Linked DNA regions of Arabidopsis thaliana. The protein of the gene in region 1 interacts with the protein of each later gene in a pairwise test. Each region holds a gene or a part of one and is shown in the gene's direction. Other genes may lie near its edges. The genes, in order: BRM, SE, TCP5 and SWI3B.

Evidence for each region.
Region 2: the proteins of BRM (region 1) and SE interact in binary tests that used the Arabidopsis thaliana proteins (3 or more experiments, as listed by UniProt).
Region 3: the proteins of BRM (region 1) and TCP5 interact in a two-hybrid assay, tested with the Arabidopsis thaliana proteins (one study listed by BioGRID).
Region 4: the proteins of BRM (region 1) and SWI3B interact in a two-hybrid assay, tested with the Arabidopsis thaliana proteins (one study listed by BioGRID).

What each region holds. Positions count from the first base shown.
Region 1 is NC_003071.7:18,920,748-18,925,978, forward strand, and holds the start of BRM (transcription regulatory protein SNF2), read left to right. Parts: upstream 1-1,785; 5' UTR 1,786-2,453; intron 2,454-2,529; 5' UTR 2,530-2,556; coding exon 2,557-2,730; intron 2,731-3,027; coding exon 3,028-4,302; intron 4,303-4,425; coding exon 4,426-5,231. Other genes in the region: AT2G45990 (ribosomal RNA small subunit methyltransferase G), read left to right, coding at 41-117, 196-296; AT2G46000 (LDL receptor wingless signaling/trafficking chaperone), read right to left, coding at 447-626, 714-842, 983-1,300. UniProt on the Arabidopsis thaliana protein: ATPase subunit of a multiprotein complex equivalent of the SWI/SNF complex that acts by remodeling the chromatin by catalyzing an ATP-dependent alteration in the structure of nucleosomal DNA.
Region 2 is NC_003071.7:11,570,223-11,577,457, forward strand, and holds SE (C2H2 zinc-finger protein SERRATE (SE)), read left to right. Parts: upstream 1-2,174; 5' UTR 2,175-2,364; coding exon 2,365-2,780; intron 2,781-2,991; coding exon 2,992-3,092; intron 3,093-3,339; coding exon 3,340-3,397; intron 3,398-3,735; coding exon 3,736-3,810; intron 3,811-3,894; coding exon 3,895-3,969; intron 3,970-4,063; coding exon 4,064-4,111; intron 4,112-4,261; coding exon 4,262-4,330; intron 4,331-4,419; coding exon 4,420-5,211; intron 5,212-5,291; coding exon 5,292-5,340; intron 5,341-5,455; coding exon 5,456-5,715; intron 5,716-5,823; coding exon 5,824-5,982; intron 5,983-6,074; coding exon 6,075-6,135; 3' UTR 6,136-6,436; downstream 6,437-7,235. Other genes in the region: AT2G27090 (bZIP transcription factor (DUF630 and DUF632)), read right to left, coding at 1-123; FRS3 (FAR1-related sequence 3), read right to left, coding at 6,747-6,791, 6,983-7,099. UniProt on the Arabidopsis thaliana protein: Acts as a mediator between the cap-binding complex (CBC) and both the pre-mRNA splicing and primary microRNAs (miRNAs) processing machinery.
Region 3 is NC_003076.8:24,534,358-24,539,259, reverse strand, and holds TCP5 (TEOSINTE BRANCHED 1, cycloidea and PCF transcription factor 5), read left to right. Parts: upstream 1-2,015; 5' UTR 2,016-2,322; intron 2,323-2,552; 5' UTR 2,553-2,607; coding exon 2,608-3,690; 3' UTR 3,691-3,923; downstream 3,924-4,902.
Region 4 is NC_003071.7:14,227,193-14,232,563, forward strand, and holds SWI3B (switch subunit 3), read left to right. Parts: upstream 1-1,779; 5' UTR 1,780-1,830; coding exon 1,831-1,993; intron 1,994-2,087; coding exon 2,088-2,497; intron 2,498-2,583; coding exon 2,584-2,994; intron 2,995-3,348; coding exon 3,349-3,475; intron 3,476-3,563; coding exon 3,564-3,694; intron 3,695-3,789; coding exon 3,790-3,957; 3' UTR 3,958-4,216; downstream 4,217-5,371. Other genes in the region: CRL2 (NAD(P)-binding Rossmann-fold superfamily protein), read left to right, coding at 45-214, 288-473, 548-713, 809-998, 1,174-1,306. UniProt on the Arabidopsis thaliana protein: Component of a multiprotein complex equivalent of the SWI/SNF complex, an ATP-dependent chromatin-remodeling complex, which is required for the positive and negative regulation of gene expression of a large number of genes.

The sequences.
Region 1 (5,231 bases):
CCATTAGTTTACAATCCCTATGCATTTTTAATTTGGCCAGTTTCGTGGAAGACAGACTCGCAACGCTGAAAAATGTCATAAAAGAGCCTGAATTAGACAAATGGAGTTTATACCTAGGTGGTCTCTTCCCTCTCCCATATCATCACTTCTGGTTCCCCTTATTGGTTATTCTGACAAAAACTTATCTCAAAACAGGAACCTGGGGATACAACACTGAGAAAGAGAGAGCTGAAGCAGCAGGCATTCCCAGGATTCAGGTTATTGAGCTCTCCACGTTTAGCAATAAGCTTAAATGAGTGCATATACTCATTGGAAAAGAAACAAAGCTTTCCTCTTTATTGTATTCTACGGCATTCAACGGAAACTAAAAACCAAACATGTTTAGGTAAGATTCAGTAAAAGAGTTGAACTTTCAGTACTACCCATTATAGAAGCTTTTCTGTGACCTATAATTCATCCTTAGTAAGATCATTCTTGTTACCATCACCATCTTCGTGATCTTTCCTTTGCTCAGCTTGAAATTTGTCAAAGACATCTTCAAATGGAGGATCTCCAGGTCTTCTAAACTCTTGCTTCCCTATCTTGACCTCGTAAGCTTCTTCTTGGCTCAGCACGAATTCCCTTAGCTAATTGAAAGATATGATTGTGATGTTAGATTTTGACTAATCCACTAAACAAAGTTTTCAGCATTGTGTGTTTTCTGTGGCTTTTACCTCAGTCACAAGCTTCCCATTTTGCATATTGAACATCACTGTGCTTCGATCTACAGCCATGAATCTTACTCCTATCCCTCCTGTTCTTAAAACTTTTGTCCATTTCATAGCAATATCAATCACCACATCCTGATTGAAACATATAAACAGATCACTATTCAATCCCCTGAAGCAACTGGACCCATATCGAATTCAGAGAATTTTGAACAGTAACTGAAACTATAACTTAAGGACCCCAAATTCACGATTCGATTTGGATTTTAGTTTACCTTGGTACGGGGGACGCCTAACCGGAGCTTGACGAAACCGACGACGGTTCCAAAAGTCCGTTTAGCCATTTCCTCTTGGATCTGATCGAATCCCATATTGGTGAAATCCGGAGGCGGATCAAATTCCGGGGTCGTTGCTTTCTTCCCCCACTCTTTCCATGACTCGTCTTCTTCATTGTCTTCAACGTCGTCTAGGTCATCGGAGATCTCGATCCGTCGCTTCGTTGCTTCGGCGATCCGGACAAATCCGTGAAAATTCATAAAAAGAAGGAGGCCAACAAGTAGAATCAGCGAAGAAGAACGAACGATCTTCTCCATCGTTTAACAAATTTATTCAGGAATCAGAAACAGAGGAAGAGAGACTGCATCGGCAACGGCATTTCTATATCAGTAAAGCTTCTACAAACTCGCACACAAGTCACAAAACCATAATAATGTGACTTTTTACTTGTTTCGGGAAAAAAAACTATTAACGACATAAACTGAACCTGCTGGTTCAAAACTGTTCGCCGTTTTTCTATCTTAAAATAGAACTGCGTGCCAACTATTGACGTAAAGATGGCAAGCATATCAAGGCTGAAAGATGAAAACGACACGAGGTTGCACCGTAAATAAAACAAGGGTAATTGTATGATTCTCTCTAATCTACTACTGCACTACAGAAGGTAAAACTAAAAGTCAAAATTTGTCTAATTTTAAATTCAAATTAATTAATCAAGTAAAACAAACATAAGTCTAATTTGATTTCCAAATTTGTTTTTTTTTTTCTTTTTTTGATTTCCAAATTTGTTTATAGTAGTATCATTTTAGTATTCTTATTACCCAATACGGAAACAAATATTTGAAATAAACATGGAAAAATTAAAAGTCATTCCATTTGGTTAACAAAAGGAACGTTTGGTAAATTCACACGTGTCTCATCGTCATTTGTGCAACTGACTTGTATAAGGAAGGGTACTTGTGGTAATAAAAGCGAAAACCGAGGGGTGGCCTCGTGAAACGCATTTTCCGTGTTCCAACTGTATCGAGGCGTGGGACCTACAATCAAAAATAAAATAAAATTAATGCCCCTTCCAAAAAAAAAAAGAAAGAGAAAAAAAAGAAAAAGGGAAGTAAGAAGCCAGCTAGGGTTTGACTGCGAGAAATTTCTGATCTGCGTGAATTTCTCAAAGAGAGGAATCGATCATCGATTCCGTGGATTTCGTTTCCCTCCCTTTTTATTTTTATTTTTCGAGAAGCCATCTCAAAGGATCTGAGTTTATACCGTTGCATCCCCCGCGACTTTCGTTTTCCGATTTCCCCCAAATTCGATGCAAATCTAAGAAGAGAGAGAAATAGAAAGGTGTGTGCGCTTCAACCGACTCAGTGTCTCTCTCTCTCTCTCTCTCTCTCTCTCTCTGTTGCTATTTGAGGTTTTTTCCTTTGCCTCGGGGGCTCTCGCTGTCCGAATTCTTTTGTAGGGATTTATTGGGTAGGGTTTTTCCACTTTTTTTTTGTCTTCTTCTACTAGCTTCGTTGTGCATTGGGTTTAATTGTTTCCAGTGTAGTGACTGTCAGATTCTTCGACCAATTGCATGCAATCTGGAGGCAGTGGCGGAGGGCCCGCTCGGAATCCGGCCATGGGTCCGGCTGGTCGGACTGCTTCCACGTCATCCGCTGCTTCTCCTTCTTCTTCCTCTTCATCTGTGCAGCAGCAGCAACAGCAACAGCAACAGCAGCAACAGCAACAGCAGCTGGCGTCTAGGCAGGTAAAGGATTCTCAAGTCTCTGTTTGGTTCGTTATGACTTAGGAGGGATAAAATGCTTGTTTGTAGTGGCTAATGTTTGTCTGTTAAACTTGCGGCTATTCAATTTTAGTGGGACTTGACTGTTTATCAATTCTGTGTAAAAGGAAAGTAACCAATATCTTTAAATTGAAGTTGTGTAATGGTAGCCACTTGGAGAACATGTTTTGTTCATTTCCACATATATATATAGTTGCTCTGAATTGTGGATTATTGTTCATTTGATTGTTACTAATTATTATCGTGCTTCTGATATGGCAGCAGCAGCAGCAGCACAGAAACTCAGATACAAACGAAAATATGTTTGCATATCAACCTGGTGGGGTTCAGGGAATGATGGGCGGTGGCAACTTTGCTTCGTCTCCGGGCTCTATGCAAATGCCTCAGCAGTCTAGAAATTTTTTTGAGTCTCCTCAGCAACAACAACAACAACAACAACAGGGTTCTTCTACCCAAGAGGGCCAGCAAAATTTTAATCCAATGCAGCAAGCGTATATTCAGTTTGCTATGCAGGCTCAGCATCAAAAAGCACAGCAGCAAGCTAGGATGGGAATGGTGGGTTCATCAAGTGTGGGAAAGGATCAAGATGCACGAATGGGAATGTTGAATATGCAAGACTTGAATCCGTCTAGTCAGCCCCAGGCCTCATCATCGAAGCCATCGGGCGATCAGTTTGCTCGCGGTGAAAGGCAGACTGAATCAAGTTCTCAGCAAAGGAACGAAACAAAATCTCATCCTCAGCAGCAGGTGGGTACCGGACAACTAATGCCTGGAAATATGATAAGGCCAATGCAAGCACCACAGGCTCAGCAGCTTGTCAATAACATGGGAAACAACCAACTCGCATTTGCACAACAGTGGCAGGCAATGCAGGCATGGGCGCGTGAGCGTAATATCGATCTCTCACATCCTGCCAACGCCAGCCAAATGGCACACATCCTTCAGGCAAGAATGGCTGCTCAACAGAAAGCTGGTGAAGGCAATGTGGCCTCACAGTCACCATCTATTCCAATCTCTAGCCAGCCGGCTTCATCTTCGGTTGTTCCAGGTGAGAATTCACCACATGCCAACTCTGCTAGTGATATCTCTGGGCAGTCAGGATCAGCGAAGGCCAGACATGCATTATCTACTGGCTCATTTGCCTCGACTTCCAGTCCCAGAATGGTCAATCCTGCTATGAATCCCTTCTCCGGCCAAGGGAGAGAGAATCCAATGTATCCTCGACATTTAGTTCAGCCTACAAATGGGATGCCCTCAGGAAATCCCCTGCAGACTTCTGCAAATGAGACTCCTGTTTTGGATCAGAATGCATCTACAAAAAAAAGTTTAGGTCCTGCTGAACATTTGCAAATGCAGCAGCCTAGGCAACTGAATACACCGACTCCAAATTTAGTAGCGCCATCTGATACTGGTCCACTCAGTAACTCGTCCCTTCAGAGTGGACAGGGGACCCAACAAGCACAGCAGCGATCAGGATTTACCAAACAGCAACTCCATGTTCTCAAAGCCCAGATACTGGCATTTAGGCGTTTGAAGGTTTTCAGCTCTGACTTTTTCCTTATGTCTTCATTTTTATTGTATGTTTTGCTGGAGATGTATGCCTATAAATAACGTGTCTGCAAGCCAGGTTGAATGTTTTTAATTGCTTTTTTTTGACAGAAAGGGGAAGGTTCTTTGCCTCCGGAGCTTCTTCAAGCTATTTCTCCACCACCGCTTGAACTACAGACGCAGAGGCAAATATCTCCTGCCATAGGGAAAGTTCAGGATAGATCTTCAGACAAAACTGGAGAAGACCAAGCAAGGTCGCTAGAGTGTGGCAAGGAGTCTCAGGCTGCTGCTTCTTCAAATGGACCAATTTTTTCTAAAGAGGAAGATAATGTTGGAGATACAGAAGTAGCTTTGACGACAGGCCACAGCCAATTATTTCAAAACCTGGGAAAAGAAGCTACTTCTACTGACGTGGCTACGAAAGAGGAGCAACAGACTGATGTATTCCCTGTTAAGTCAGACCAAGGAGCAGATTCTAGTACTCAAAAGAATCCTAGAAGTGATTCTACAGCTGATAAGGGAAAGGCTGTTGCATCTGATGGAAGCCAATCTAAGGTTCCTCCACAAGCAAACTCTCCCCAGCCGCCCAAGGATACAGCCTCTGCCAGGAAATATTATGGACCGTTGTTTGATTTTCCCTTTTTCACTCGAAAACTTGACTCTTATGGGTCTGCAACAGCCAATGCCAATAACAATCTCACATTAGCATATGATATTAAAGATCTGATTTGTGAAGAAGGTGCAGAGTTCCTTAGTAAGAAAAGAACAGACAGTTTGAAGAAGATAAATGGTCTGCTAGCAAAAAATTTAGAAAGGAAAAGGATTAGGCCTGATCTTGTTTTACGGCTTCAAATTGAAGAGAAAAAGCTTAGGCTATCTGATCTTCAGTCTCGTGTTAGAGAGGAAGTAGATCGACA
Region 2 (7,235 bases), 7.4 Mb from region 1:
GTATGAAACGTGAGCAGCAGCTAACAAACATCTTCCATCGAGTGCTTGTTGGACGAATTTTTTTCTTTCTCGACATAACTGTAAGGCTTTATCTTCATCTATTCTGGATGTTGATGCACCCATTGTCCAAGCTTACATGCAAAAAAAAGAGTAACATGAGTTAGATTTACAACCTGCAGAACTACTAGAATAGCTTCAAATTCAGAAAAAGAAACTTTAATTAGTGGGGAGTGATCATATGTTAATTAGGACTCACTAACTATTCCGACTAGGAAATTTTCTGTTAAGTGGTTTTGGAGATTCTAATAAATAGGAAGCAGGACGATGGATAGATCCATCCTGCGACATAGGCTTGGTTTAGACCGAGGGAACTGTGTTCTGTATTTTGGGGTTCTATTTCAGTTATTGATTTCAGTAAAATAGTGGTTCTGATTATATTCTAGTGATCCTTAACTCTAACAAAAACAAACACAACAATCACAAAACCACTTCAAAAAAAAAAAAAGTATTAAAGCCTCTCAAGACACTGTATTCTAGGGATCAATGCACTGACCCCTGGCAAGACCCGATCAGAAATAACCAAAACATAACTAGAAGAGAGAATTAAGTAATAGCGAGTCATCTGTTCCACTAAGTTATCTAATGCAAAGGTGTGAGTGAGAGTATCATTGTATTCATGTTGAATATGAGAGAAGAACAGTGCCCTTTATTACCAAATTGCATCATGATATATAAAACAAATGAAAATTACGCATTGCAGGATATTTGCTATTTAGCGAGACATGATCATTCTCTCAAATCTCAAACTCAAATCTCATGCCTCCGTATATAGAAAAAAACAAAGAAATCCCAAGCAAACACAACGAAGATACATAAATTAAATCCAAGGCAACAAATACAAATCAAGCTTATGTTGCTCCCAACACAACACAAATCAATCATACATACCAAATAAAAAAAACCCTCAAAGCAACTATCTATCAACAATTAAAGAACAAATTTCCACTTTGAAATCCTAACACAATCTAACCTATTCTCTTAACTTAGTAACCTGTTCCGCCGTTTAAAGTTCCTCAAGCAAAATCCTTATGGAAAGAGTAAAACTTTCACAGAACCATCGGATAGATGACAAACAATCAGAATCACATAAGAAGGCAACTTTTTCGTAATCGGAATCCCAAAATAGGGCGAGAGAGAATATAAGGAGAGCATAACCAAAGTCATACCGCAGACAAAACACAAAACTGATTGAACAAATTAAGAAGTTTTCTTAGAGTAATCGAAAATCAAAACCTGAAAAGTGCACGAATTTGACAAAAAAGAGAGATTTTTATAGAAAGGTAAAGAAACCCAAATGAAATTGGACCATTAGAGTAGAAGAAAACCTAGAAAAGGTGAGATTTTTCACACAAGTAGAAGAAACAACAGTAAGATGGAGAAACGGTGATACCTAAAGAGATGTCCTTTGAGAGCTTTGGAGTTACGCGAGAGGATCAAACCCAAAAGAAAACAAAACGTCTTCTTCTACAGGAGACGAAGAAGAAGGAGAGAGGTGGTCTGTGTCGTGTGTGAGTCAGCAGCGAATCAGATGGGTAGAGAGAAGAGAGAGAGAGAGAAGAGGAATCTTATGCGAGAGGAGAAAAAGGAGATTGTGTGTGTATGTGTGTGACTACCAACATGCAATAAAGCATTTGCTTGCTTGTAAAGACGATTTTGACGGATGACTCCAAAAACGGTAACTTTCTCTTGCCGTTGTTATTTCTACTCCGGTTACTTTTCTTACACCTTTTTTTTGTTTGTCTTTTTATTTTTTTAAGGATTCATTAGTTTATGATAAACATCCTTAATCTATGGTCTTAGTCAATTGCTTTACAAAACAATTTTGTTACATGTCAACTCACATTTTAGTATTTTACTAATAATCAAATCCATAGACAGATTATGAAAAAATAATCCATAGTGATCCCATAAAAAATAGAAACTAATCTTATCAAATTGACAGAGATACTAAGACTTATTATTGGCTTAATTTACAGAATTGTTTGAAGAATTTTTCTGGAAATGATGGGAAAGAATCTGACTGAAATATTAAAATAGTTTTGCTTCGATGAAATGGAGGAATAGTCAAAGGTGTGGACAAATAATTAACATAGAAATCCAAATACTGTATTTTCATAAAGACGAAGATGGGCCTCTGAGAGTAAGGCCTATTTATGAAGACGAAGATGGGTCTCTGAGAGTAAGGCCCTATTGGAAATAAAGCTCACTGTAACAGTAACAGCAGCAAAACCCGTAAAGGTAGAGGGAGAGACACAGAGGCTTCGAGTGAAATCGTACATTCTCCGATTTAGGGTTCCGAACGAAATGGCCGATGTTAATCTTCCTCCGTCTGATTCCGTCGATAACCGTCTCCCTGAGAAATCAACCTCTTCCTCACCACCTCCTCCACCGCCTTCTTCTTCTCTGCCGCAGCAGGAACAGGAACAAGACCAGCAGCAGCTTCCGCTACGCCGTGAGAGAGATTCACGAGAGCGTCGTGACGAGAGAGACATCGAACGTCCTCCGCCTAATCGCCGTGAACGTGACCGTTCGCCTCTCCCACCGCCTCGTAGGGATTACAAGAGACGTCCTAGCTTGAGTCCTCCGCCACCGTATAGAGATAGGCGACACTCTCCTCCTCAGCGTCGCTCGCCTCCTCAAAAGCGTTATCGGAGGGATGATAATGGCTATGATGGTCGCCGTGGTAGTCCTCGTGGTGGCTATGGACCACCCGATAGAAGGTAATCTTCATTTCTTATGCTTACACTTCAATTGGAATTACATCAGAGTTAATTTGTTACCGATTGAATTATAATTCAAAGTCATATGGGAACTGTGTTTGCATTGTTGCTTAGCTGATAACTGTTGATTATCCTCTTGTATCGATGGTTGTTATATTCCATCGTTTTCGAGATTTCCTAATCTGTACTCAATTTTTACTTTGCATGTTAGATTTGGGTATGACCATGGTGGAGGATATGACCGTGAAATGGGTGGGAGGCCTGGTTATGGTGATGAAAGGCCTCATGGTCGCTTTATGGGTCGCTATCAGGGTGAGACATCTCTGTCTAAGATGTTTTTACAGTTGAGAGAATCAGTATTACCACTTTTTCGTATGATTTCTGTCTTGTGAGACATGTTTAAGATACCTATCATTGGGCGTTCTTATTATTTGTGGACTTCTGTTCATTTGACTAGCTTCGTATATTTCTCTCTGTATGCTGTGGATTGGAAACAAGCGATTTACATTAGAAGATAAGATGTCAATATCTACCTTTTATTGTGTGTTACTTATGGCAGACTGGGAGGGAGGACGTGGAGGTTATGGTGATGCTTCCAACAGTGGAAATCCTCAAAGGTTAAGGTTCCTTCTTCTTTTGTTTTTTAAAATTTTCTTTGTATTTCATGGGTTTGTTGTCTTTTTCCTATGGCGTGTTTATTCTTGGTAGCGTATTTTTAATCAAGTTAGTGTAAACTAAGAGTTGCGAACTGTCTAATGGTGCTCAATGAATGGAGGATACATCCCTTGTAGAATGTTCTTTCTTCGATGAGACATATATGTTTTTTTCCTTATAGCTCCGGAAAGTTAGAGTGAATGTTTGAGAGACACCATTATAGTGGCACACAACTGATGCTGTCTGTATCCTCCCTTGCTGTTGCATTTAACGATACTACCTTTGTAATTCCTTTACCCAGGGATGGATTGATGTCATACAAACAATTTATCCAGGAGTTGGAAGATGATATATTGCCATCTGAAGCTGAACGCAGGTATGATCATTTCTGCTACTTAGTCTTGTTACTTAAGCAATTTAATAATAAAGCTGCGGGTGTAATGCTTTTTTCCTGATGCAGATATCAAGAATACAAGTCAGAGTATATCACAACACAAAAACGTGCCTTTTTTAACACCCACAAAGAGGAAGACTGGTGATTTCACTATCTTTTTTCATCTTTTATATTCTTCTGGGATATTCTGCAAGCTAGCCTAATAACATGTGTATCTATGTTGCGCATCTACCAGGTTGAAAAATAAGTATCATCCAACAAACTTACTATCTGTCATAGAAAGGTGAGTTCAAGAGTCATTTGAAGCAATTTGATTCGGTGTTAGTGCCTGAATAGTGTAATATTAATACTATACATCCTTGATTTTATTATTTTAATTTTCTTTTCATTAAAGAAACTGTTCAACTATAGATATTCCTTTGAAATTTTTCAGGAGGAATGACCTTGCACAGAAGGTGGCAAAGGATTTCTTACTTGATTTACAAAGCGGGACACTAGATTTGTAAGATCATTTCTTTGGCCTTTATTCCACATGTGTGACTGATCACAATTCTGTCATCTCTAACGCTCTCAGTTTCCCTTCTGTTCCAGAGGCCCTGCAGTGACAGCATTGAATAAATCCGGCCGGACCAGTGAGCCTAATTCTGAGGATGAAGCCGCTGGTGTTGGTAAAAGAAAAAGGCATGGTATGGGTGGAGCTAAAGAGAATGAACTTCTTTCAGCCGCACCGAAAGCACCCAGTTTCACCTCTGATCCAAAGAGAATCCTGACTGACGTTGAACAAACACAAGCCCTTGTGCGTAAGCTAGACTCTGAGAAAAAAATTGAGGAAAATGTTTTACAAGGTTCAGAAACTGAAAAATCAGGTAGAGAAAAGTTACACAGTGGTTCTACTGGTCCAGTTGTAATCATAAGGGGGTTGACATCTGTGAAAGGCCTTGAGGGTGTTGAATTACTTGACACGCTTGTTACATATCTATGGCGTGTTCATGGTCTGGACTATTACGGAAAGGTTGAAACAAATGAAGCTAAGGGTTTGCGGCATGTGAGAGCTGAAGGAAAAGTTTCTGATGCAAAAGGAGATGAGAATGAAAGTAAATTCGACTCTCATTGGCAAGAGAGGTTGAAAGGTCAAGATCCCTTGGAAGTGATGGCTGCCAAAGAGAAGATAGATGCTGCCGCTACTGAAGCTTTAGATCCACATGTCCGAAAGATTAGAGATGAGAAGTATGGTTGGAAATATGGTTGTGGAGCCAAGGGCTGCACGAAGCTGTTTCATGCTGCTGAATTTGTGTACAAGCATCTCAAGCTGAAACACACTGAGCTTGTCACAGAGCTGACTACCAAAGTTCGGGAAGAACTGTATTTTCAGAACTATATGAAGTATGTAGGCTTTTTCTCTTGGATTCCTCTACTGTCGTTTCTGACAGGTTCGTAATGAAATTTTTTTGTGCTATTTGCAGTGATCCTAATGCTCCAGGAGGACAACCAGCCACGCAGCAATCTGGCCCGGTACATGATCTTCTTTTGAGATTTAATGGAGTGTTGACTAGTCTGTACTTTTGGGTTATCACTTGTTTAGCTTGGTTTGAGTTTTATTTACGTGGGTTAATTATACTTTCAACAGAGAGATAGACCTATAAGACGTAAACCCAGCATGGAGAACAGACTGAGGGATGATAGAGGTGGACGCAGAGAGCGTGATGGACGTGCTAATGGAAATGACAGAAATGATCGGTCAGAAGATCAACAGAGAGGGGATAATGATGGTGGAAATCCTGGGGAAGTTGGGTATGATGCATTTGGTGGACAAGGTGGTGTTCATGTTCCTCCCTTCTTATCGGATATAAACCCACCACCAATGCTGATGCCTGTTCCTGGTGCTGGGTAGGTTTAATAAAGATTACTCACTCCCTTCATGATCTTGTTTTCAGAATAAATTAGTTACTGTGTTGAATCAATGATCTTAATGTGTCTGAATGATGATGTGGTCAGGCCACTGGGACCATTTGTACCAGCACCACCTGAAGTTGCTATGCAGATGTTCAGGGACCCAAGTGGACCCAACCCTCCTTTTGAAGGTAGCGGGAGAGGTGGACCTGCCCCTTTTCTGTTGTCTCCGGCCTTTAGACAAGATCCTAGACGGCTGCGCAGGTAACGTAGTTCACTCTGTGCTATGAGTCCATTACCCTATGATCAAGAGTGCAGTGTCTCTAAGGTACTAATGTATGAGAAATTTGGTGCAGCTACCAAGACCTAGATGCTCCAGAGGAAGAAGTGACCGTTATTGATTACAGGAGCTTGTAGACAAGACAGGGCTAGAGAGATCCCGAGTTTACTGGTTCGGGTTGGGTTAAAGGGCATCAGTATTAGAAGGCAAAGCTAGCAGATTGTGGCATTTTCTTACCCTTTTGATGTATTATGTCTTGTTCCTCCCAATTTTCACTCACTAAAGCGTAAAATACGCACTCCATACATTTCCTTATTGTTTTTCAAAATTTTTCATGTGCTTTCTTACTAATTCTGTTCGACGATGATTACATAAATAGCATGAGAATTTCTTGTATTGAATAATGCGTTTTATCCACATTGTTTGTTATCAATACTTAAGTCTCCATGGCAGTCTTAAATCTCCATGGCCATTAAATATAATCTGCAGTCAAACGAATGACTATCCACAAGAATCCAGGTTTTTAGGGTTCAATGTAAATAAGAAGGATATATACACTTCAAAGCCTGGCTCAATGCCTACCAGATTCTACACACTTGCGTAGATGACGTGACACTTACACATGTTACAATTACACATAAGGCATTGTATCGTAAATCTAACAACACTAATCACAGACGAGCTCTAATGAGGTTAACAACCATTTTCCAAAGTTTTCTTTTCCAGAGGTTGTTTCTCTCTCTCAACATCATTTGCGTTGCTTCTTTGCTTGAGATTCTGTTTGTAGCTCTCCCTGCAAATGCAAGATACCGTTTAGATACTCTATAAGACAATACATAGACCAAGTAATAGTTCAGGAACAATTATAGGTCGATATGAACCTAATTGATTGCTGTTACTATTACTAATTCAACTATCATTGGCCTTGTAATTATTTAATAACTACTACTTGGAAAAAGAAAAAGAAAAAGGGAGTGTGCCTACAACGATTGAGAGCTGCTCACGGATATAGGCCATTGATCTCAACATGGCACCTAGTGTATCTCGGGACACCTGAAACTTGACCTCTGATTCTCCTGTTGTTGTCTCGGTATCTTGAAGCTGGAGTAAGGAAAACAAAAGAAGATTTTTTCACACTGTTGAAACCTTCTAGTTCAATTAAGAGTCCCTAATATGGAGTAAAACATTGATTTTGGTAATCAAACATGAAATTTCATATTCAAGTAGTGACGCTAGT
Region 3 (4,902 bases), on another chromosome or scaffold:
ATATGATCCAAAAGTCGGAGGAAATTAAGCCAAGAAGCTCAAGTCACGTCGTCGTCGTCGTCATCATCATCCATCCCTATATATGATTCGGTTGTTTTTTTGTCAACATGATGATTAAGTTAAATTATGTGTATATATATAAAAGGCAGGAACAATTTAATTGTATTCACATAATTCGTTGCCAAATCCTGTCATACATTCCCAAAATTCCCTAAAATATGATCTTGTTAATAGTTTCTAGCTTATTCCTTAAGCTTGAATTTACGTTAAATCAATTTTGAAAGAAATTAAGGTTTTGGCTTTGACAGACGTTACCAACCAAGCAATGACTAAAGGCGGCTTTGGTAGTGGGCTGCTTTAGACGACGGGTAGGTTTGGCAAGCTTCTTTGTTGGGACAAAAAAATTGTTGTGATAAATTTCACCACAAGTTTTATGAACATACATCATAATTAATATTGTTGCAGCATATATTAGTTAGACCAATATACCACTGACACCATCTATATAAAAGTTAGTACATGTCTATCACAGTACCAAAAAAATGAAATGTACAAGTCTATCTCGCTCTAAGAATAATTTGTGTTTAAAATATACCACCATATCCGGAAAGATCCTTGGAAATGCCTTTAATGAAGGCTTCCAATCGCCTTCTTAAAATAATCTGTGACATTGTGTTGTGATCATCTTAAAATGCCTTAAAATTGTGTTGGATAATCTACGGAACCGATGTGGAAAAAGAAATCCATGGAACCTTTGATTTGAGATGAACAGTTACCACAATTTATATGATCATTAAAATTATACGATATATAAGTGGTTCATATTTATTTAATATTTTCCCCATATTTAAGTGAGGACCAAAAAACTGATACAAAACTTTTTCTTGCAAAATTACAAATGTAACTTTGTTACAGTCAATTTCATCTCAAGATTACATAATCAAAACCAGAGTTCTTAATTTGAAACCGTACAGTACTATATATGCAGTAACTCAATATTCTTCGTAAACAACCAGTGTGGGTTAAAGGCGCGGTCAATTACAGAAGACTTTATATATAGTAGTGATCAAGTTGGATACAAAGAGGAAAGAAAATGGTTTGTGATTGTGGGCAAAAATCTCAGTGGCAAAGACACTTAGAAGAGAAGTGGACCACAAATCTCTTTGTGAGTATTTAGGCATTAGATGCTTTAAAGAAAAACCTATACTCGTTGGTCCATTCTCTATCTCAGAGACAGACCCTTACCTCCTCTAGCTGTCAATCTCTATTATATTTACTTATATATGTTGATATTAAAACAAAAAATTTATATATATGGATATTTTCTATATATGCTTAAAAATATAACCCACAAGTAGTTAATTAGAAATAAAAGCAGTATTCCCAACAGTTTGATTTTAACAAGTCTACATTTCATTATCACTAAATTTAGGGTTTCAACAAGTTGCTTCGTTAATAATGAAATTCAACAATTTATCTACAAATAAAACTTTTCATTTTCCAAAACGACAGAAACTCAAATGAAATGAGCGACGACTGTAAATAAATTGGTCTTTCCATTTGTTTATATTATGAATTTTTTTGAATTTACTAAAATTTGGTTTCATAAAACTTTCAAACTCGATCTTGTATATATATATGTTTCACAGTTCAAAGTTCAAACCACTTTTACCATTATTAATTTACTATACATGTACTATATTTTTTTTTCACTTTAAAAGCTCTTGTTACCATTTATAACTATTAATTTGTCAACCGTACACTTTCTCTTAAATGACCTTAACCGTATGTTTATATTTTTGTTTAAGATAAGAAGACAACATAGATCACAAACTTGGGTAAAAATTAAATCATATAAAATTCAAAATGAATGTCTAACACCAAGGAAAGGGAACCAAAACTTGAATACTAAAATATATTAAAATTTATTGTAAAGGTTTTTTTTTTGTCAACTATTGTAAAGTTTTATATATATAAGATTTATGTGACTGTGAGTGTAACGAAACATGCACATTCCCATCACAGTATCAATACACTACATAAATTGCTCCTCTTTTGTCCTTCTGCATAAATTCCTTTCATACCGAAAAAAAAAAGCCCTAGGGATCGGAATATAATACTTAAAAATATATCTAATTCATTTATTATTTAACTTCCCCAATCATTATAATATACATATGTAATTCTAGTTTCCAAAAAAAGAAATACTACACATTCCTCTGCCTCCTTATCTCTTTCTTATTCTTCTTCTTCCTCCTTCTTCTACTTCTCTATCAAGCTGGATCTTGAAATAGGACTCAAGCTTACCAGTATTCAATCAACGTAAGAACATATAACCTTCAACATGTTTGAATTTCAAATTCTTATGAGCTTTCTTTTCTTTGATGCAAACTCAAGAAAGAGATATTATTGCTTTGTTTTCATGTGAATCTCGCTCCAAAAACATATTTAAAATCAACAATTTCATTCAATTGAAAGCTAACAACAACTAATTCTTGTCTTCTTGATTTATTTTCTATTAAATTGGTCAATTTATTCCCTTCTTGTTTCAGATCTGTTCTTTACACCAAATTGAGTACTGAAGATCTTGTTGAGTGAATTAAAGAGATGAGATCAGGAGAATGTGATGAAGAGGAGATTCAAGCAAAGCAAGAAAGAGATCAAAATCAAAATCATCAAGTAAACTTAAACCACATGTTGCAACAACAACAGCCGAGTTCGGTATCATCTTCAAGGCAATGGACTTCAGCTTTTAGGAATCCAAGAATCGTTCGAGTCTCAAGAACATTCGGTGGCAAAGACAGACACAGCAAAGTATGTACAGTCCGTGGTCTTCGAGACCGGAGGATAAGGTTGTCCGTACCTACAGCTATTCAACTCTACGACCTTCAAGATCGATTAGGGCTGAGTCAGCCAAGCAAAGTCATTGATTGGTTACTCGAAGCAGCAAAAGATGACGTAGACAAGCTACCTCCTCTACAATTCCCACATGGATTTAACCAGATGTATCCAAATCTCATCTTCGGAAACTCCGGGTTTGGAGAATCTCCATCTTCAACTACATCAACAACGTTTCCAGGAACCAATCTCGGGTTCTTGGAAAATTGGGATCTTGGTGGTTCTTCAAGAACAAGAGCAAGATTAACCGATACAACTACGACCCAAAGAGAAAGTTTTGATCTTGATAAAGGAAAATGGATCAAAAACGACGAGAATAGTAATCAAGATCATCAAGGGTTTAACACCAATCATCAACAACAATTTCCTCTGACCAATCCGTACAACAACACTTCAGCTTATTACAACCTTGGACATCTTCAACAATCGTTAGACCAATCTGGTAATAACGTTACTGTCGCAATATCTAATGTTGCTGCTAATAATAACAATAATCTCAATTTGCATCCTCCTTCCTCGTCTGCCGGAGATGGATCTCAGCTTTTTTTCGGTCCTACTCCTCCGGCAATGAGCTCTCTATTCCCGACATACCCTTCGTTTCTTGGAGCTTCTCATCATCATCATGTCGTCGATGGAGCCGGTCATCTTCAGCTCTTTAGCTCGAATTCAAATACCGCATCGCAGCAACACATGATGCCGGGTAATACGAGTTTGATTAGACCATTTCATCATTTGATGAGCTCGAATCATGATACGGATCATCATAGTAGCGATAATGAATCAGATTCTTGAATGATTTTATATATCTACACTATACATTGAAAATGTTATATGTATACGTATTCTTCTATATTTTGATATATATGCGTATTGTTGGATTGGTTTATGTATCTTCTTCGTGTATGTATACACTTTTTAATAGTCTCGGATTTAGATTCGAACAAAGACATTCATAATGCGAGGATGGTTGTTATTTCTATATATGTTTTAGTTTTGAAGGTAGTTTTTGCTTCCTTAAGAAATTATATGAATTCTACTTGAATGTCTTTCTCTATTCATTTATGAATATATACACTCGAATAAATGAATTGTACAATATAGGTATCTCATAACTAGCTAGCACTTTCATCCTAATCCATAATCTAGATTAGTTAATCATATTTCATATGTTAGGATTTAGGTTTTACATATATGGAATTTTTTATTGTTATCACGAATGTGAGAAAGTGAATAAAAACGCAAAGAACAATAATACTTTTCAAAATAGGATGGAGGAAAAACAGATTCAGAAAAAGAAAAAGAAAAAAAGAGTATTAACATAACCCTAATTCAACTTTAAACCAAATAGGTCCATCGAAACCCATATGCTATTCTACCATCGTATGACCAGATTCAAAGCATTTCACCAATCACCATTATATATATATATATAGGCATCACAATGTTGCTAAGAAAAAACATTATGTAATTTTTTTAATCAAAATATGATATGATCTATCTTAATCATCATTATGCAATGATTACATAGTCAGGACTTGAATTGGATATAATCGTATCTACAAATTAATTTTGATATATATATCTATAATTAACTACAAAAGTACAAATTTTTACCGCCAATGTAATAATGTATATAGAAAAGTCATGTTTGTTCACAATGCAAATGAAAGAAATCGAAGGGGTCGTTGCTTGTCATGTGTCAGAAAAACACCAATAAGTTTCAAATAATTTTATGTCCACAATCATTCATTTTCTTATAACTACGTATATTTGTACGGGCATATTAATTATGAAATGTATTCATAAGAACATAAATATATATCCATGCATATATATTATATATTCTTTATATATAGAGATACGAACTTAGAAGTATAGATAGGTTACTGTTCACAATGCCTAGAAGCACGGCAATATGTATTATGTAATGCATGCCAAAACCCTAGACTCGTGTGTATATATGAGTCACTCCCACAATCATGCATATATAACCTATGTATACAT
Region 4 (5,371 bases), 4.7 Mb from region 1:
TGTCTATTGTTCTGATGAAGAGTTTCGCATGGTTCTTGTTATAGGTAATGAAAAGTATGCTCATTTGAAGAAGCTTGATAAAGCTGGTGACAAACTCAAGCTCTTCAAGGCTGATTTGCTCAACTACGGCTCTCTTCAATCTGCTATTGCTGGCTGCAGCGGCGTCTTCCATGTCGCTTGCCCTGTTCCATCTGCTTCAGTCCCTAATCCTGAGGTGAGGATTTCATTTTTACAATCTCATTGGTGGCTATATGCATTGTCTCACTATGGTTTCACTGGTTTTGCAGGTAGATTTGATCGCACCTGCAGTGGATGGTACGCTGAATGTGCTTAAGGCATGCGTTGAAGCAAAAGTTAAGCGTGTTGTGTATGTTTCCTCTGTATCTGCAGTTGCTATGAACCCTATGTGGTCAAAGAGTCAAGTGTTAGATGAGACCGCTTGGTCTGACCAAGATTATTGCAAAAAAACTGAGGTTAATAATGCATCTTGAATCCCTCATCTCACTTTTTTTTCTTCTTTTAAATCTGACTTTCGTCCCTCTGGCAGAATTGGTATTCTTTGTCAAAGACACGAGCAGAAAGTGAAGCTTTCGAATTTGCAAAACGAACCGGACTTGATCTCGTCAGTGTTTGCCCTACCCTTGTCTTGGGACCTGTATTGCAGCAGCACACAGTAAATGCTAGTAGCCTTGTTCTTCTCAAGCTTCTTAAAGGTATTATAAACAAGCCTCTCATTTCATCTGGGATTGTTAGAAGCAGCAACTTGGTATATGAGTTGGTATTGATTTTATACTTAAGTGTGGTGCAGAGGGTTATGAATCGCGTAATAACCAAGAACGGCATTTGGTAGATGTGCGTGATGTGGCTCAAGCTTTACTTTTGGTTTATGAGAAAGCAGAAGCTGAAGGAAGGTACATCTGCATAGGCCACACGGTTAGGGAACAAGAAGTCGCTGAGAAGCTGAAAAGTCTTTATCTAAATTACAACTACCCAAAGAGGTAAGCAAACAACAGCTGCACATCTCTCTACCCAATTTGAGTGAAAACCTTTAAACCTTAATAAGCTGTTTTTGTTACTTTCATCAGTAAACAGTGTCACTTACCTTTACATCAATGTCTCTGAAGTTTCTTTTAGACCTTACCTTTGATCTAAATTCTACTTATCCAATATCAGATACATCGAAGCGGATGGAAAAGTGAAGGTGAGTTCAGAGAAGTTGCAGAAGTTGGGTTGGACTTACCGGCCGTTGGAGGAAACACTTGTGGATTCTGTTGAGAGCTACCGCAAAGCTAAGCTTGTGGACTGAAAACTGGGAACGAATAGCATATGAGTGTTTTGGGTCCATGTGTTAAGTGTTCCTATCTGCACACGCTCTTTCATCTTTTACTCAAGAATAAGAGTTGTGCAACATATTTTCCATCATGAACTTCTGAGTTTTTGTTACTTTCTTAGACACCATTACTTTTATGACCAATCTACAATTACTCCTTCCATAACTATGTTCCAATATCTCTTTGATACGTTCCAATTTCTACCTACTTACAAAGGATAACTTCACCATTAATACATGAAATCAGTAACGCACAACTTCACCATTCGAATTAACCTCTAAGCCTAGCGTAGCAGATGCACTACATCTTGGCTGACCATGGGACTAAAAAAACATTCGCAATATTTAACAACTAAAGCCAGGTTAATGGACCTGTATTAGGGCCCAAACCAGGCCCGTTTAGATATCCGACTTTTTTTTTAACTTTGCCCATCTCGATAGCTAGATTCTCTTTTCCCTCTTCCTTCTCCGGCGAAGTTGCGTTAGTTAAACAGAGAGTCATGGCCATGAAAGCTCCCGATCCCGGCGGATCTGGGGAAATTCTCCCGAGCACTCCCTCTCTTTCCGAAACTACGTCTGGAGGCGCCGCAGCAGCTTCTAAGTCGGCTCAATTGCCGTCTTCTTCTTCCGATATCGATAATATTCACGTACCTAGCTACTCCAGTAAGTCTGCAACGCCGAGAAAACTTTGATTTATTCTACTTTCTTCACTGTTTCTTACGGATTTTGTACTTGTACCGTCTATTTAACCAATTAGGTTGGTTTTCATGGACCGACATTAACGATTGCGAGGTCCGGTCACTGCCGGAATTTTTCGATTCGAGATCTTCATCCAAAAACCCTAAGTTTTATCTCTACTTGAGGAACTCGATTATTAAGCAGTACAGAGACGACCATCCTCGGAAGATTAGTTTCACTGACGTTCGGAGAACTCTCGTCAGTGATGTTGTCTCTATTCGTCGCGTCTTTGATTTCCTCGATTCATGGGGACTTATCAACTATAATAGCTCCGCCTCTGCTAAGCCGCTCAAGTGGGAAGAAAAAGAGGCCGGAAAATCCGCCGGAGATGCTGCTTCTGAGCCAGCCACAACTGTCAAAGAAACTGCCAAGAGAAACTGCAATGGCTGCAAAGCAATTTGCAGCATAGCTTGTTTCGCCTGTGATAAGGTTTGATTTCATAATTTGTAGCCATAGTAATAATTTCATTCACTGAGTTTGTCACTTAGAATGATTATGTACATTTTTGTTTTCAGTATGACTTGACATTGTGTGCGAGGTGCTATGTTCGTAGTAATTATCGTGTTGGTATTAACTCCTCGGAGTTTAAACGAGTTGAGATTAGTGAGGAGTCAAAGCCAGAGTGGTCTGATAAGGAAATTCTGCTGCTGCTGGAAGCTGTTATGCACTATGGAGATGATTGGAAGAAGGTTGCATCGCATGTTATTGGTAGAACGGAGAAGGATTGTGTTTCTCAGTTTGTCAAGCTTCCGTTTGGGGAACAGTTTGTAAAAGAGTCTGACTCTGAGGATGGTTTAGAGATGTTTGATCAGATCAAGGACTCTGATATTCCTGAATCTGAAGGAATAGATAAAGACGGTTCTTCTCCCAACAAGCGGATCAAATTAACACCTCTTGCAGATGCAAGCAACCCAATAATGGCTCAGGTTAGAAAGACACTACAATTTGAGTAGTTGCGTTCTCTCTCTATGTTAATCTTATTTGTATAAGTCTTCAACATGCGTGGAAATGCTTTTACATTGTTAGGCTACTGAAGAATAGTCCAGTGTCTGCACTAGGCTGTTCCACGACTTGCGTTTTTGTCTCCTTAAAGAACCTAAATCTAGAATACCTTGTGGGGCTTACTTTGAAATCTAGTAATAACAAACCCTAGTTGACATATATAAGGCATTTAAGAATCAAATATGTGTTAGATAATTCTGTACTGTGTTATCACACCTCAATTGTTATGCTTCATTGGCTGTCTCTGAATAAGATTTATCCTATCATGTCCTCTTCAGGCTGCTTTTCTTTCAGCTTTGGCTGGCACAAATGTTGCAGAAGCAGCAGCTCGAGCGGCAGTGAGAGCTTTATCTGATGTAGACTACGAGGCTGACAAAAACGCCAGTAGAGACCCAAATCGACAAGGTATCAAAGACCAAGCTGTCTCTATTTGCAGTCCATTTCTGTCCTAAGCCAAACCCAATAGTGACAGTTTTGTTTTCCTGATACACAGATGCCAATGCTGCATCGAGTGGTGAAACCACTAGAAACGAATCTGAAAGAGCTTGGGCAGATGCAAAGTCTTTAATTGAGAAGGAAGAGCATGAGGTAGAAGGAGCAATCAAAGAGACTGTTGAAGTTGAGGTTAGTAACAATCTGCAACTTTCCATAGACTTTTTATTATATGGTTATACTCAATGATGATTTATGTTGGAACAAACAAAATTTGGGATTAACAGATGAAGAAGATCCGAGATAGGATTGTTCATTTCGAGAAATTGGATTTGGAAATGGAGAGAAGCCGGAAACAATTGGAGGAGGTGAGGAATCTGCTTTTCGTTGATCAATTAAACATTTTCTTCCACACCAGAAAAGCCCGGAAAACTGAAGATAGAATAGAGTGTTAGAACGCACTTAATTTGAAACTGTTATTTCTTATTTGATTCTTGTCTGGTTAAGAAGATGACTTGTATTGTAGTGTACTTGAGATGTGTTGGTAACAAAATGAGATGAGATCGAATTGGTATAAATAAGGCTGGGTTGGTATAAAAGTCAAAACCAAATGGCAACTGCGTCGAAGTATAATTTTTGTCTTTATCAGGCAATCACAAGTGGAAAAGTTTTAAAAATTAATTTTGCTCTTTTGGAAACAATAGAAAATGTCAGGGTTTTGGAGATATCCGATATAAAAGATAGATTTTGTTTTCACTAAATAGGTTAATCTTCAAATGTTGTTAAGTTACCGATGTTTTTTTTGTATCTCCGTAACATGATTACTCTCTTTGTTGCTAAAAGAGTGATGGTTTTTATATTAAGAAACAGTCATTAATTAATCATTTCTGTATTGTTTGTTATATTAAACATTTTCAATAACTATAAACCAATAGCAGTCTAACAAATTTCAATCATTTTATCTTGAACTTTACTAGTTCAGGTTTTTCAGACAAACTAAAAAAACATTGAATTTTCTGTTTTATCTCTAATTAATGTGTTATTTAATATCATATCATCAATTAATCAGCCAAAACAATAAGAATTTCTTTTGGAAAATCTTTCAAAAACATGCATTGAAAATATAAAACGATAACTAATTTAATACAAAATTTAATTTCTAAAACATAACTAATTTAGAAAGGAGTGAGTGATATTTAAAAAAAATAAAGAAAAAACGAAAATGTTTTTTTTGTGGGACAAGTTAAAAGTGGTAGAACATCAATTTATTAGAAACAAAGAGAGTGTATTTTTCTTTCTTCCCCATCGGGAAACCAAACCCAATTTATTTATATATTAAACTCGTACAATATAAAATCTTTTATATTTAACTAAAAATTCAGTAAATATCCATTCTTCGTAAATATTTAAACTCTATTTTTTCTTTTTAAAAAGATCAATTTACATCTTAAATTCAAAATATAAACCATAATATATTATGTACATATTAATACTGCATTCTAAACAATTTCCCAATATAAAAAATAAAAATATATAGAGGTAAATAACTTATCATAACTACTTTATTGATGGCCTTTATAATTAGTTTCTGCTTTGGTAGAATTTTTTAGTTCAGCCTTTATCTCGTTATCTGCATGTCTCTAATTGAGCTTTGTTGCTAAGTTTTAGCTTTTTTTTTTCTTATGCGATCACTTTGCTGGTTGTTGTGTTGGTTGGTTCGGTTCCTTGTACCTTTGATGTATCCTCTATTTCTCTTTTTATCTAGGTTAAGCTTTTTTATTAATGAAATATTAAGTTTGATTGGAAAAAAGAGGCACATTAATAGAAAGTTAGCTTTGTTGTTTAGGTTTTATTTAATATATGTACGTG